Linked DNA regions of Bombyx mori. The protein of the gene in region 3 purifies or fractionates together with the protein of the main gene of each other region. This does not show direct contact. Links are inferred from orthologs where the notes say so. Each region holds a gene or a part of one and is shown on either strand. Other genes may lie near its edges.

Region 1 (4,302 bases), on a different chromosome or scaffold from region 3:
CCGCCATCTTCCTGCCTACCAGCCTACCTGTAATAATGGCACTTACAACTCTGAATATCTGGAACTTTTACAGCTATTGCTAAGATTAGAGGTTGAGTTCAGGACCCACATGGTGCTAAGTGCTTACCAAAGCCCTTAGACATCAGCAACATATATGCAACATGCCACCACCCACCATGAGATATGAGTTCCGAATCTTAGTTTTACAGCCTAAAGGATGTCCCATCATAAAAACCAAATCACATTACTGCTTCACAGCAGAAATTTGCAGGGCGGTGGTATATATCTGAGCAGGCTGACAAGATGACCCTCCATCAGTAATTACCAGTGTTTGGTTTCTATGACACAATGTTATTCCTTCACTATAGTCATTTATGAACATTTGTCAAGTACGTTTAATATTTCATTAGAAAAATTGGTACCATGGTCTGTGGAATTTAAACACTGGCACAGTACTCAATACGAATGCACCGGGAGTTTTATATATTTTTATACATAGTACCACATATTCTGTATTAGGGCAGTGTGTAACGTACAGTTAGTAGCGCCGGTCATTCTCGGTGTGCTATAAATCGCGCAATAAATCATTAACTACCAATTGACTTTAATTTCTACACACTCCTTAATAGGTGACTGCAACCCAATATACACATCACCTAGAATACTTTAGGCCTTTCAATAGAGGGTGTTTATAAATAATAATAATAAATATTTACTAACAATCACGCCGCGTTAACTAGTCCCATGCTAAGTTCGTAAAAATCTTGTGTTACAGGTACCAGATAACGGAAATATATGTAAGATATTTATCATAGACATACATATATTTAATATACTTCCATAACACTGGAAAAGACGTTTTATATTTATCTTACAAATATCTTCCCTTGGCGGGATTTGAACCTGCGACCCCCGTGTGTAGTGACCATGTCACTCACCACTACACCAGACAGCCGTTAATAAATGGGTGATTATTGTATTTAAGACCAGACAGATAATTGCTGTTCATCAATATGGTTTTATAAAAACATACTTACTGTGAAACTAACAGAAGATCCACTTCGTCTGCCTCTATAAGGTCTATGAAGGGTAGGGCGTCCATTCCAGACAAACCAGGATGGATGCCACAGTCCAACTAAAAAAATATGAATATTTTTGTCCATAATATTGTAAATTTTAAAATATATACTTCTTTTGAATTATATAACTTAGCCACAATGAATGTCTATACTATGTGAATATTACAATATTGCTATAAATACTGTAAAGGGCACATCACTACACACACACATAATTGATATATTACACCACTGCCTCATCTTGTCAAACCTGAGAAAGTGAATGTGTACAGTTCTGGGGCCATACTTTAATACTGCAAAACATGAAATAGGAACATGAAACATAAACTAACCATTATCTTTTTCCCTTTGAACTCCAACATGATGCATGATCTGCCAACTTCTTGGCCAGCTCCACTGAAAATATATTTTCTAAGCTTCAATTTTTTTAAGCAAACATGTTATAGTATTACTGTATTGTTTTATTAATATTAGCATCTAAGCCAGTTCATAACATTGAATTTTTATTACTTTTTTTGTTAATTTTGAGTGTAATATTAAGTAATAATAAAGAAGGTGTTTAAGGAAGCTTAAAGTCTGTATTGTTTTGAAACTTGTTCACATTAATTATTTTACTTACAGTGGTCTTATTGTCAATTGATCGCTTTCCTCCGCAGGCACTGGATCAGTGCCTTTTCTTGGATTTGTAGTCATTTTGTTTATTTACAAATATTCATTTACAGGGATTTAACCAATAGCTTAATCACAATAAGATAAAACTTTGTGGTGTTATATTATAAGTGACGATTAATCAAATAACGTATAATAACTACCATTAAGATTTACTTTATAAGTTAGAATCAGTTCCTGTAATCCAGTCAGTTACAATTTAGAAACATGTTAGGTTATGGTACGGTACCGATTTTTTTTCTTCTCCAGTAGTAGAGTAGTAGTAGTTTTATTTTTCTAGCTGGATAGGCAAAGGTATAAATCATATCATACAACCTACGAATAACTGATAAGTTATTATTTATTCGTAGCATACAACTTAATCTTTTATAATTTTTTAATCAAAATGATATGAAGTGAAATGAAATGAAGTTGATTAATTTGGAACATTAATCAATTGTCACGAAATAAAATGAAATGAAATGAGATAAGATGATATGGGATAAAATATAATCTCAGTAATATGGTGGTTATATTTACTGAGACTTTTTGACCCACAGACATAGGCGACTGAGTTTCTCGCCGGATCTTCTCAGTGGGTCGCGTTTCCGATCCGGTGGTAGATTCTGCGAAGCACGGCTCTTGCTAGGGTTGGTGTTAGCAACGTCGTTAGGTTTGAGCCCCGTGAGTTCACCTACTAGTTAAGGTTACGCTGGAATAGCCTCTCAAGGCTACCAGCTTAGGTAGGAAAAAAAAATTAGACTTTTTGAAGGATCCCGAGAAGCTACGACCAGCGGCTTTGTTTCATTTTCCCACATTTGTGCACTTTCACAACAGTTAAACAGATATTAAACAGTTAATAAACCACCGTTGTTACAAATTTAAACCTGAAGAAACACTAAATAGACAAAACTAAACAATTCATACAACTTCACTCTTCGCATTCCCGCCAAAAAAGTATTTTTCTTCTCCAATAAAACAAAGCCCCCCTCACAGATTATTAAAATAATTAAATACGAGTAGGGTGTAGGTATAACGACGAAAGGAAGATGTTCCCCCGAGCGGGTGATATTGCTCGGTAGACCGATAATCCGAATGTTGTTGTTTGGAACTTGTTTATATGCAAGCTTATCTTGAAAAGGTCGTAAGCGAGATTCAGGCATTTGACAAATATCTTGTGTTATCTGATAGCTACCGCCACAAGATATGTAATAATTACTAGCTAACCCCGCAAGCATTGTTTTGCCTTAAAAAAAGTTTCTAAGAAAGATAAATTAACCTAGATATCGACTGCAGCGCCATCTGCCGGGCTGATTTGTGAATCTAAACCATCCAGGACACCACCCAAACACATACAAAAAAAATCATTCAAATTGGTCCAGCCGTTTAGGAGGAATTCAGTGACAAACACACGCACAGAAGAAATATATATAAAGACTAACTGACCCGGCAGACTTCGTAGTGCCTCAATCGACAAATAAAAGACCTAAACTTTTGTATAAAATAAACTTAAAACAAAAAAAATCAATGCGTCCGACGGAGGACACATCAAAGGGAAAACTAAATTGTTATTTTTATTTGATTCCGAGCATTTTCATATTTATCTACCTTCCTTTTAAATCTTCTCTGGACTTCCACAAATAAAGACCAAAATTAGACAAATCAGTTCAGGCGTTCTGAAGTTTTAGTGAGACTAACGAACAGCAGTTCAATTGTATATATATATATATATAGATAAAGATAATAAACAAAAGATTACGCTTATGGTATGATACCTTTGCTTTTCCAGTTGGAAAACTAATACTGTCAAACTGTCAACATAATAAATATTGACAAAATACACGTGTGCTAATGAAATTTATAAATTTACAGCTAATGAAATAAATAAGGGTTGCATTCATTGAAATAATTGTAATGCCGAAGCAGAAGTTGTTTGATGAAGATTCAGCGGATGAGGTCACATTTAAAACTGAAAATGAATACGCAAAGAAGTACGATTCGTGGCGTGAGAAGGAAGAATTACATAAATGTGAGGAGTCTAATTTAAGTTCTCTGAGTTGTTTCAGAAAACCAGAAGTGTAAATTATTACATTACATATTATAAAATATTGCTATTTACTGATTAAAATGAGGTTAATTCAAAATTATTGAAAATCTTGACTCCATTTGACTTGTGAGCAGGCAAACTGCTGTCAGATAAATAAACATCAGTGAACACTAGATGAGCTGCCTCTGCTAAGTTTGACATGACAAGACGCCGTCGAATCCAATAATAGCGTTGTATATTCATCATGTCAAAGCCCCAGTGTTATTCTAATTTTTAATTAGCTGAGTTTCATTGATATGTTTGACTCTCGAAATGAATTTTTCTATTTATTTTAAATTAAATTTACTGCAATTTCTGCAGTGTTAAATGAAATGAAAATCATAAACTACTTCGGTTATTCTAGTTTTTATATTTCCAATGGTGTTCAGTATCATGTGGAAGGGAAACCCGATTTGGCTCCTAAAATCTTGAGAGTTTTCAATAGATCAAAATGGTATTTCGTGCATAGACAAAAACTTTTATTGGTGT
Region 2 (3,547 bases), on a different chromosome or scaffold from region 3:
TCACTGATAAGTAGTTGATGACATAAGGAGTAACTTAGGCTTAACTTTTTTTAGACTAGCTTCGCCCCGCGGCGTCATTCGCAGTTATTGTCGTACCGCGCGCAACATGGCGGGACTCGCCTATCAATAATAAAATTTTGCGGGTCGCTAGTATATTATATATTCCAAAAACATAAATATATATAAATTTTTTTTTGTAATAATTGTAAATTTTTTCACATTCAAAATTTTACCGCCCTGGGCACTTGCCCCGACCGCCCCTAGTGTAAATCCAGCGCGGACTGTTTCTTGACCGTAAGGCCACGGACTCTTCACTGTCCGCCCTAGAAACAATTGACTATTTTTGTTACAGAAAACATTGTGAGTCTGAAGGAATCGAAAAGGTGTTCTTACCGTCCGTTGGGGAAACCGTCGACGCCACGACAGAGTCACACATCTATCAGGTACCAACAGAACTGCCCGTTAACAACATTATTTTCTGAATATACTCGAATATAATAAATAATAGTTTAAAAATGTGTGCGTGTACTAGTGTACACACGTAAGAAGTGAAACTTGTTTATGGCCTTATTTTTCGAAAAATGATCTACATGCAACTTTCTAGAAATTGGTTAAATAAAGTTAAATTAGATAAAGTTTAAACAAAAGGATTTTATTATCATAGACATGAATACAAAAAAGTTAAATTAGATAAAGTTTAAACAAAAGGATTTTATTATCATAGACATGAATACAAAACAGATGGCGCGTAACGGAAAAAAGTGACGCGTAACCGAAAAATGTGACGGTAAATTTTTTTCCAACGCCGATAAGGAAGTTTCACTTCAAAAAAACTAAAATATTATGCTTTTATAGAAAATCCAACTAAAAAATAAAAAAATAAATTTTAATAAATTCGAATTAAAAATAGTGTGAAGGAAAAATGATTTTATTGTAAAAAAAATGTGTGCGTGTACTAGTGTACACACGTAAGAAGTGAAACTTGTTTATGGCCTTATTTTTCGAAAAATGATCTACATGCAACTTTCTAGAAATTGGTTAAATAAAGTTAAATTAGATAAAGTTTAAACAAAAGGATTTTATTATCATAGACATGAATACAAAAAAGTTAAATTAGATAAAGTTTAAACAAAAGGATTTTATTATCATAGACATGAATACAAAACAGATGGCGCGTAACGGAAAAAAGTGACGCGTAACCGAAAAATGTGACGGTAAATTTTTTTCCAACGCCGATAAGGAAGTTTCACTTCAAAAAGCGTGGGGAGCTTTTCAAAATATTATTAAAATAACCCTTCTACTCATATCTGTTCATTAAATATTTATAACTACTGATACCAAGCACATCACTCTTTTTTTTTACAAAAAAACATGTGTGGTGTCGTGGGACACCGGATAGGAACGAAGTTCCATATAAAAAAAAAAAAAAGAATTACGAGAAAAAAATCGCGCGGTGAAATATCTCTGTGCGGAAAACAAGGCCTTATTCCACGGACTTTTTCTTACGGTTTTTACTATCACATTATTTTCAGTTCGGTCGCGCAGCAAAATCCCTATCTCCCCCAAGCCTGCCGTAAGGAACTTCGTTCCAAAAATCATTTCTTCTTACACTATTTTTAATTCGAATTTATTAAAATTTATTGAAGTGAAACTTCTTTATCGGCGTTGGAAAAAAATTTACCGTCACATTTTTCGGTTACGCGTCACATTTTTCCGTTACGCGCCATCTTTTTTGTATTCATGTCTATGATAATAAAATCCTTTTGTTTAAACTTTATCTAATTTAACTTTATTTAACCAATTTCTAGAAAGTTGCATGTAGATCATTTTTGTATTCATGTCTATGATAATAAAATCCTTTTGTTTAAACTTTATCTAATTTAACTTTATTTAACCAATTTCTAGAAAGTTGCATGTAGATCATTTTTCGAAAAATAAGGCCATAAAGAAGTTTCACTTCTTACGTGTGTACACTAGTACACGCACACATTTTTTTTTTTTCTATTTTTAGTTGCATTTTCTATATAAGCGTATTTTGTTAGTTTTTTTAAACTATTATTTATTTTTCATTTTTTAGTTGAATTTCAATGTTTTCAATTTTTTTTTTAATATTGCATTGTCATCTATCCTAAGTATACCAAATTTCGCAAATTAATCCGATGTTTTGAAGGGGGTCAATATCTCATTCAAAGATTCCGTTACATACTAACATACATACGTCTTGAAACTAATAAAAGCGTATTAAAAACGTTAGTTATATTGTCTAGTTGTTGGCGACTTCTTTGATCGAGGCACGGGGTGTGGGGAATTCTCGGTGCGAATGGTTATTAAAGATGTGAATGTGTATGATCGAAGGTGAAACTGACGGACGGGCTGATGCGGGGCCTGGTGTGGCGGCAGGCCGGGGACGCCGAGCTGGCCTGGCTGTCCGCCGTCGTGGCGCCGCGCACGCACGCCCGGGAGAGCGACGCCGCCCCCGGTAACTGACACTGTCATTAGCACTAGTCTAGATGTCTTATGTTCTGTAATAGCTGCTACCTCTGTCATGCAACAACTTTGTAAGTGCGTACGCACCGAGCACGATCCGACACGTATAGTGAAAGTTAACTACTTGAAGTTTTTTATGACCTGGTAACTAAGACCTTTAGGTCAAGTCTTATGTTAATTTTAATGAAAACTTTTTATACGATAATTTAAATTTATTTTCTATTTTTTTGTTGAATTTTATATAAAGCGTGTTTTTTAGTTTTTTTTTAAACTATTATTTATTTAAAATTTACTCGGTTGCTACTGTAGCGCCACTCGTTATAAGCAGATTTTAACGGATAATTTTTACACACAGAGACGGTTCTCCTTACCTCTCAGAGGGTTCTCCATACTTAGTATAAAGTGTTGTTGTTGTCGCAGAGGAGGGCGGCGGTGCGGTGTCGCTGGAGGCGGGTGCGGGGCGGCCGCGCGCGGCTGCGTTCGTGAACACGGTGCGGCTGCACGAGCTGCGCGCCGCCCTCGCCCGCGCCGGCCTGCAGCCCGACCTCGGCGCCGGCACGCTCACCTGCTGCTCCGGGACGCTCGCCGTGCGCAGGGTACCCGCACACCCACACTACATACACGCAATACATACGCGCACAAGCATCATCAATCAACCCGCTGACGATTAGATGGCTGGACGAGCTCACAGCCCACCTGGTGTTAAGTGGTTACTGGAGTCCATAGATAAATAATAATAAAGAAAGAAAAAAAACCTTATCAAATAAAAAAATACAAAATTAAATATAAACTTGTGTCATTGGAACCCCATTCGGGTATAGGCCTCCTATAGATATCTACAACGTAAATGCGCCACTCGCCTTGAGATATATAAGTTAAGGTCTCAGTATATCTACCCGTGCGGACTCTCAAAGGTCCTACCATCAATAATAAAGCCAATTATAATTTTTGCGAGCTTAATTTTTGTTACACAATGTTATTCCTTCACCGTTAAAGACATTCGTGAACATAATAATATATTAAGTACGTATTTCATCAGCAAAATTGGTACCTGCCTGCC
Region 3 (3,658 bases):
GTACTAATGAAGATTTCAAGTAAGACTAAATGATGTGCTTTGATTCTCTTGAAGTATTTGCCTAGTTAAAATATTTAAATAACAAAACAAAATTTAAATGACAATAATAAAACTTCTAAGGATAATATGACACTTTCAAATAAAAACAAACAGGTCATTTATGTAAAATCATATTTTGTAGTCTGAAGTATTCATCATTCTTAGAAGATATTTCCCTAAATTAGTAACTGAAGATTATTTAAAAAATAAACGTTTCTTGATTTATTTTTAAATAAAAAGTAACAATAAAAATGTATATTACTTATTTGCGCATGTCCCATTTCATGACTAAAAAACACCAAGGCATTATAATATTTAAGTTACAAAGCAGATAAATTGACATAACGATACGAATAAATCGATCGCTTTTCTCTCAATAGTAAATCTACCCTTCATTTGATACTGAATTTTGTCTCGACCACCGTGTCCGTAACTTCTATGAATCTCTAACAATACATCGTAATAATCTTCTAACGGTATTACACGAACGGTTGGACTGCCAAGGCTATTCCTTTTTAAATAAGGTAGTCCAATTCACTGATGCTCATAACCTCGTATTTTTTTGACCTGTAGGAGTCCTCCGGGAACCAGATTCTGTGGCCACCTTAGCATTTTTTAGGTGCCGGATAACCTCAAAAATTTTACTATTTGTCCAAAGCTTTTTTACAGCTTCCGTTTGAGAATTGTATAATTTTTTTAATTCACTATAATATAAAGCTTTAAAATCAGAATTATTTTCTAAAATGTCTTCTCCACACGAAATATTTGCAGTTTTCAGTTATTTTTTGAGACACAAAATGACGCCATTGTTATTGTTTTGATCAACAGTGGCGCGCGTGGTAAAAAAATGAACTAAATACTTCAATTTGCCGCGGCATTATGAAAACGGTGTTTGAATTGTCGATGTTATGTTGTGGCATATTATAAAGTGACACGGCAATATACATTTTGCCTTCGGCATTTTACATAACGGCGAGCGTTTTTATAATGACGACGCCGTTTGTAAACGGCGGAATCATACAAATTGCCTGCGACATATACACACAGCCCACTGAGTTTCTCGCCGGATCTTCTCAGTGGGTCGCGATTTCGATTCGGTGGTAGATTCAACCACTGCTCTTGCTAGGGTTATTGTTAGCAAATTCTCTCAGGTTGAACACGTGAACTCACCTACCCGTCCGCGCGAAACTAGAATAGCCACTTAGACTACCAGCTAATAGGTATGAAGGAAAATTTACTATTATATGACATTGACCATATACAGCGATCACATGTAGTGTTTAGCTTGATGTATAAAAAAGTTTTAATTACTAGACCTTGTTTCGTGATGGAAATTTTATCAGTGGGTTGTTTTGGGAAAGGTATTTGTCACTATGCCCTCAAAATCCGACAGATGACCAGCGCGAAAAGTGTTAGCATTTGTTACATTTATTACATACGTTTGGTGAAACACAAACGAGCGTCACCAAACTTTGATAGCCAATTTAATAAAAAAAAATCAGTTTATTTTATTTGTTTAATATTTATTTTTTATGTTTCCAGTGCCTCCAACAGCCGAACTAGTGTCGAAAGTACGAGACATATACGCCACCAGAGTGTCCGACGTTAGATTCTTGATCCCCGTGCTCACCGGACTGTCAAAGAGAGAGGTAAATCGTGACCATTCATTTAAAACCACTCCGGAAAAAACAATACGCTTCAGCATTTAAATTTAACGCAAAGTTAACGTAAAATTTATATAGAGATGATATAATATTACGCGCTAGGGTTCGGGATAAATAAAATTCCACCAAAGTACAACTAAAAACTGTATTCAACACTTAAAGCACTTAAAACATTCAACAAACACTTTAAAACTCTCAGTTCGCTTGTTCCGCTTCGCTTCAGGTGATCCGTTCGCTGTTTCGCTTCGAGTAGTTCCGATTATTAACTGCCTGTGTGCCATCTCTGCAACGCTTTTATAGCCGATAGATGATACCACATCCCTAGAATTTCGAGAATATTCCACACATCTCTAATAGTAGTTTCCGATGTCTGTCGATAGATGGCGTTGTACTTCTCGAGCGTTCTAAGCGCTACTAGATCCTTCGATATTCGTTCGACTATTCGGCGATAGATGGCCTTACTCTTACCGGCGTAACAATAATAACAATAACATATTAGTATTTATTTTTGAATCGTTAACTCAATGTCAAGAAGAATAATTCTTTCAGCGGCCGGACAATCGCTGAGTCGCACAAAATGAGACGCACATTGGATATCTGTGTTTTAATTTCAAATTTAACATTACAAATCGTAATCTTTGTAAATGTATGTACTATATGAGTCGTCTATTATCAAAGGTGGCAATCTGTGCATTTGGACAAAAAAATCTTATTGATATGTCCATACAGATTGATTTGAATATAATCGTCTCCTTCAAAGAATACGGTTCAAAACCTGCGTTAAATAAAGGTTAATACTTAACCTGTTATTTATCTAAGATGTCGATCAGAAGAGTTTTGTGACTGCCAATGGAATACAAAGTCAATAATTCGTTTTTCTGATTTACCAATAATTGTCCAAAAGTCACATTGCCGGCTTTGATAATAGTCGACTCATATGTAGATATTTATTGGAACAGCTTGACACCTCAATGTCCTTATATAAATGCAATTATATTGTATAAATACATAATATAACAACATATTTTAATAGAAATCCTCAATTGAGTCTTCGATATCGCCACGGCATTCACGCCATGCCTACAGGCCACTTAACACCAAATGGGCCGTTAATTCATCCGGATACGCAATAATAATAAAAATAATCTAGATTGGTATAGGAACTGATGTTCGACAACCAATGAGGTATGAGGTAAAATTCTTAGAATACGTCAAAATTAAAAACGGTCCCCTATAATAATTGCAATTACATGTTAAAAATTGATTCCTTAAATGCCAAGGTTTAATCGAAACGGTAATATGTAAATGAATTATTTCAGATCGTGGCAGCCCTACCGAAACTAATCAAGCTCAACCCTGCCGTCGTGAAGGAGGTGTTCAACAAGCTGTTGGGAATCAACGGCACGTACGACGAGCAGTCGCCCGGTAGGTGGCGCCACCGACGCGGGTCTGAGAGAGAGAGAGAAAGAGAGAGCATACTTTATTGCTCACCAAAACACTATTAACATTAGACAGTCAACAAGCAGATACGTTTGTACAATAGGCGGTCTTATCGCTAATAGCAATTCAGACATCTGTCTTCTTTTTTTGTTATTTCGTTGATTGGTGGACGTGCTCACGTCCCACCTGATGTTAAGTGGTTACTGGAGCCCATAGACATCTACGACGTAAATGCCGCCACCCACCTTGACGTATGACTTCTAAGGTCTCAGTATAGTTACAACGGCTGCTCCAGCCTTCAAACCGACACGCATTACTGCTTCACGGCAGAAACAGACAGGGTGGTGGTATCTAACCGTGCGGACTCACAAGAGGTCCTACCACCAGTAATTACGCAATTAATTTTGCTGGTTTTATTTTTGTTACCATATGTTATTATTCATTCACCCTAGAAGTCAATCGTGAACATTTCTCAAGTACATATTTCATTAAAAAAAATGGTACCCGCCTGCGGG

The links.
Region 1: the proteins of symplekin (region 3) and cleavage and polyadenylation specificity factor 73 purify together in Drosophila melanogaster (affinity purification with western blotting; 3 studies listed by BioGRID). This does not show direct contact. The link is inferred for Bombyx mori from reciprocal best matches to the Drosophila melanogaster genes Sym and Cpsf73.
Region 2: the proteins of symplekin (region 3) and probable cleavage and polyadenylation specificity factor subunit 2 purify together in Drosophila melanogaster (affinity purification with western blotting; 3 studies listed by BioGRID). This does not show direct contact. The link is inferred for Bombyx mori from reciprocal best matches to the Drosophila melanogaster genes Sym and Cpsf100.

What each region holds. Positions count from the first base shown.
Region 1 is NC_085125.1:191,059-195,360, reverse strand, and holds the start of cleavage and polyadenylation specificity factor 73, read right to left. Parts: upstream 2,853-4,302; 5' UTR 1,773-2,852; coding exon 1,699-1,772; intron 1,476-1,698; coding exon 1,412-1,475; intron 1,136-1,411; coding exon 1,038-1,135; intron 1-1,037. Other genes in the region: protein KRI1 homolog, read left to right, coding at 3,642-3,756. UniProt on the Drosophila melanogaster protein: Component of the cleavage and polyadenylation specificity factor (CPSF) complex that plays a key role in pre-mRNA 3'-end formation, recognizing the AAUAAA signal sequence and interacting with poly(A) polymerase and other factors to bring about cleavage and poly(A) addition.
Region 2 is NC_085131.1:11,896,502-11,900,048, reverse strand, and holds part of probable cleavage and polyadenylation specificity factor subunit 2, read left to right. Parts: intron 1-352; coding exon 353-443; intron 444-2,355; coding exon 2,356-2,479; intron 2,480-2,907; coding exon 2,908-3,083; intron 3,084-3,547. UniProt on the Drosophila melanogaster protein: Component of the cleavage and polyadenylation specificity factor (CPSF) complex that plays a key role in pre-mRNA 3'-end formation, recognizing the AAUAAA signal sequence and interacting with poly(A) polymerase and other factors to bring about cleavage and poly(A) addition.
Region 3 is NC_085124.1:2,849,376-2,853,033, reverse strand, and holds part of symplekin, read left to right. Parts: intron 1-1,581; coding exon 1,582-1,688; intron 1,689-3,022; coding exon 3,023-3,128; intron 3,129-3,658. UniProt on the Drosophila melanogaster protein: Component of a protein complex required for cotranscriptional processing of 3'-ends of polyadenylated and histone pre-mRNA. Involved in germline stem cell transit amplification, differentiation and mitosis-to-meiosis transition.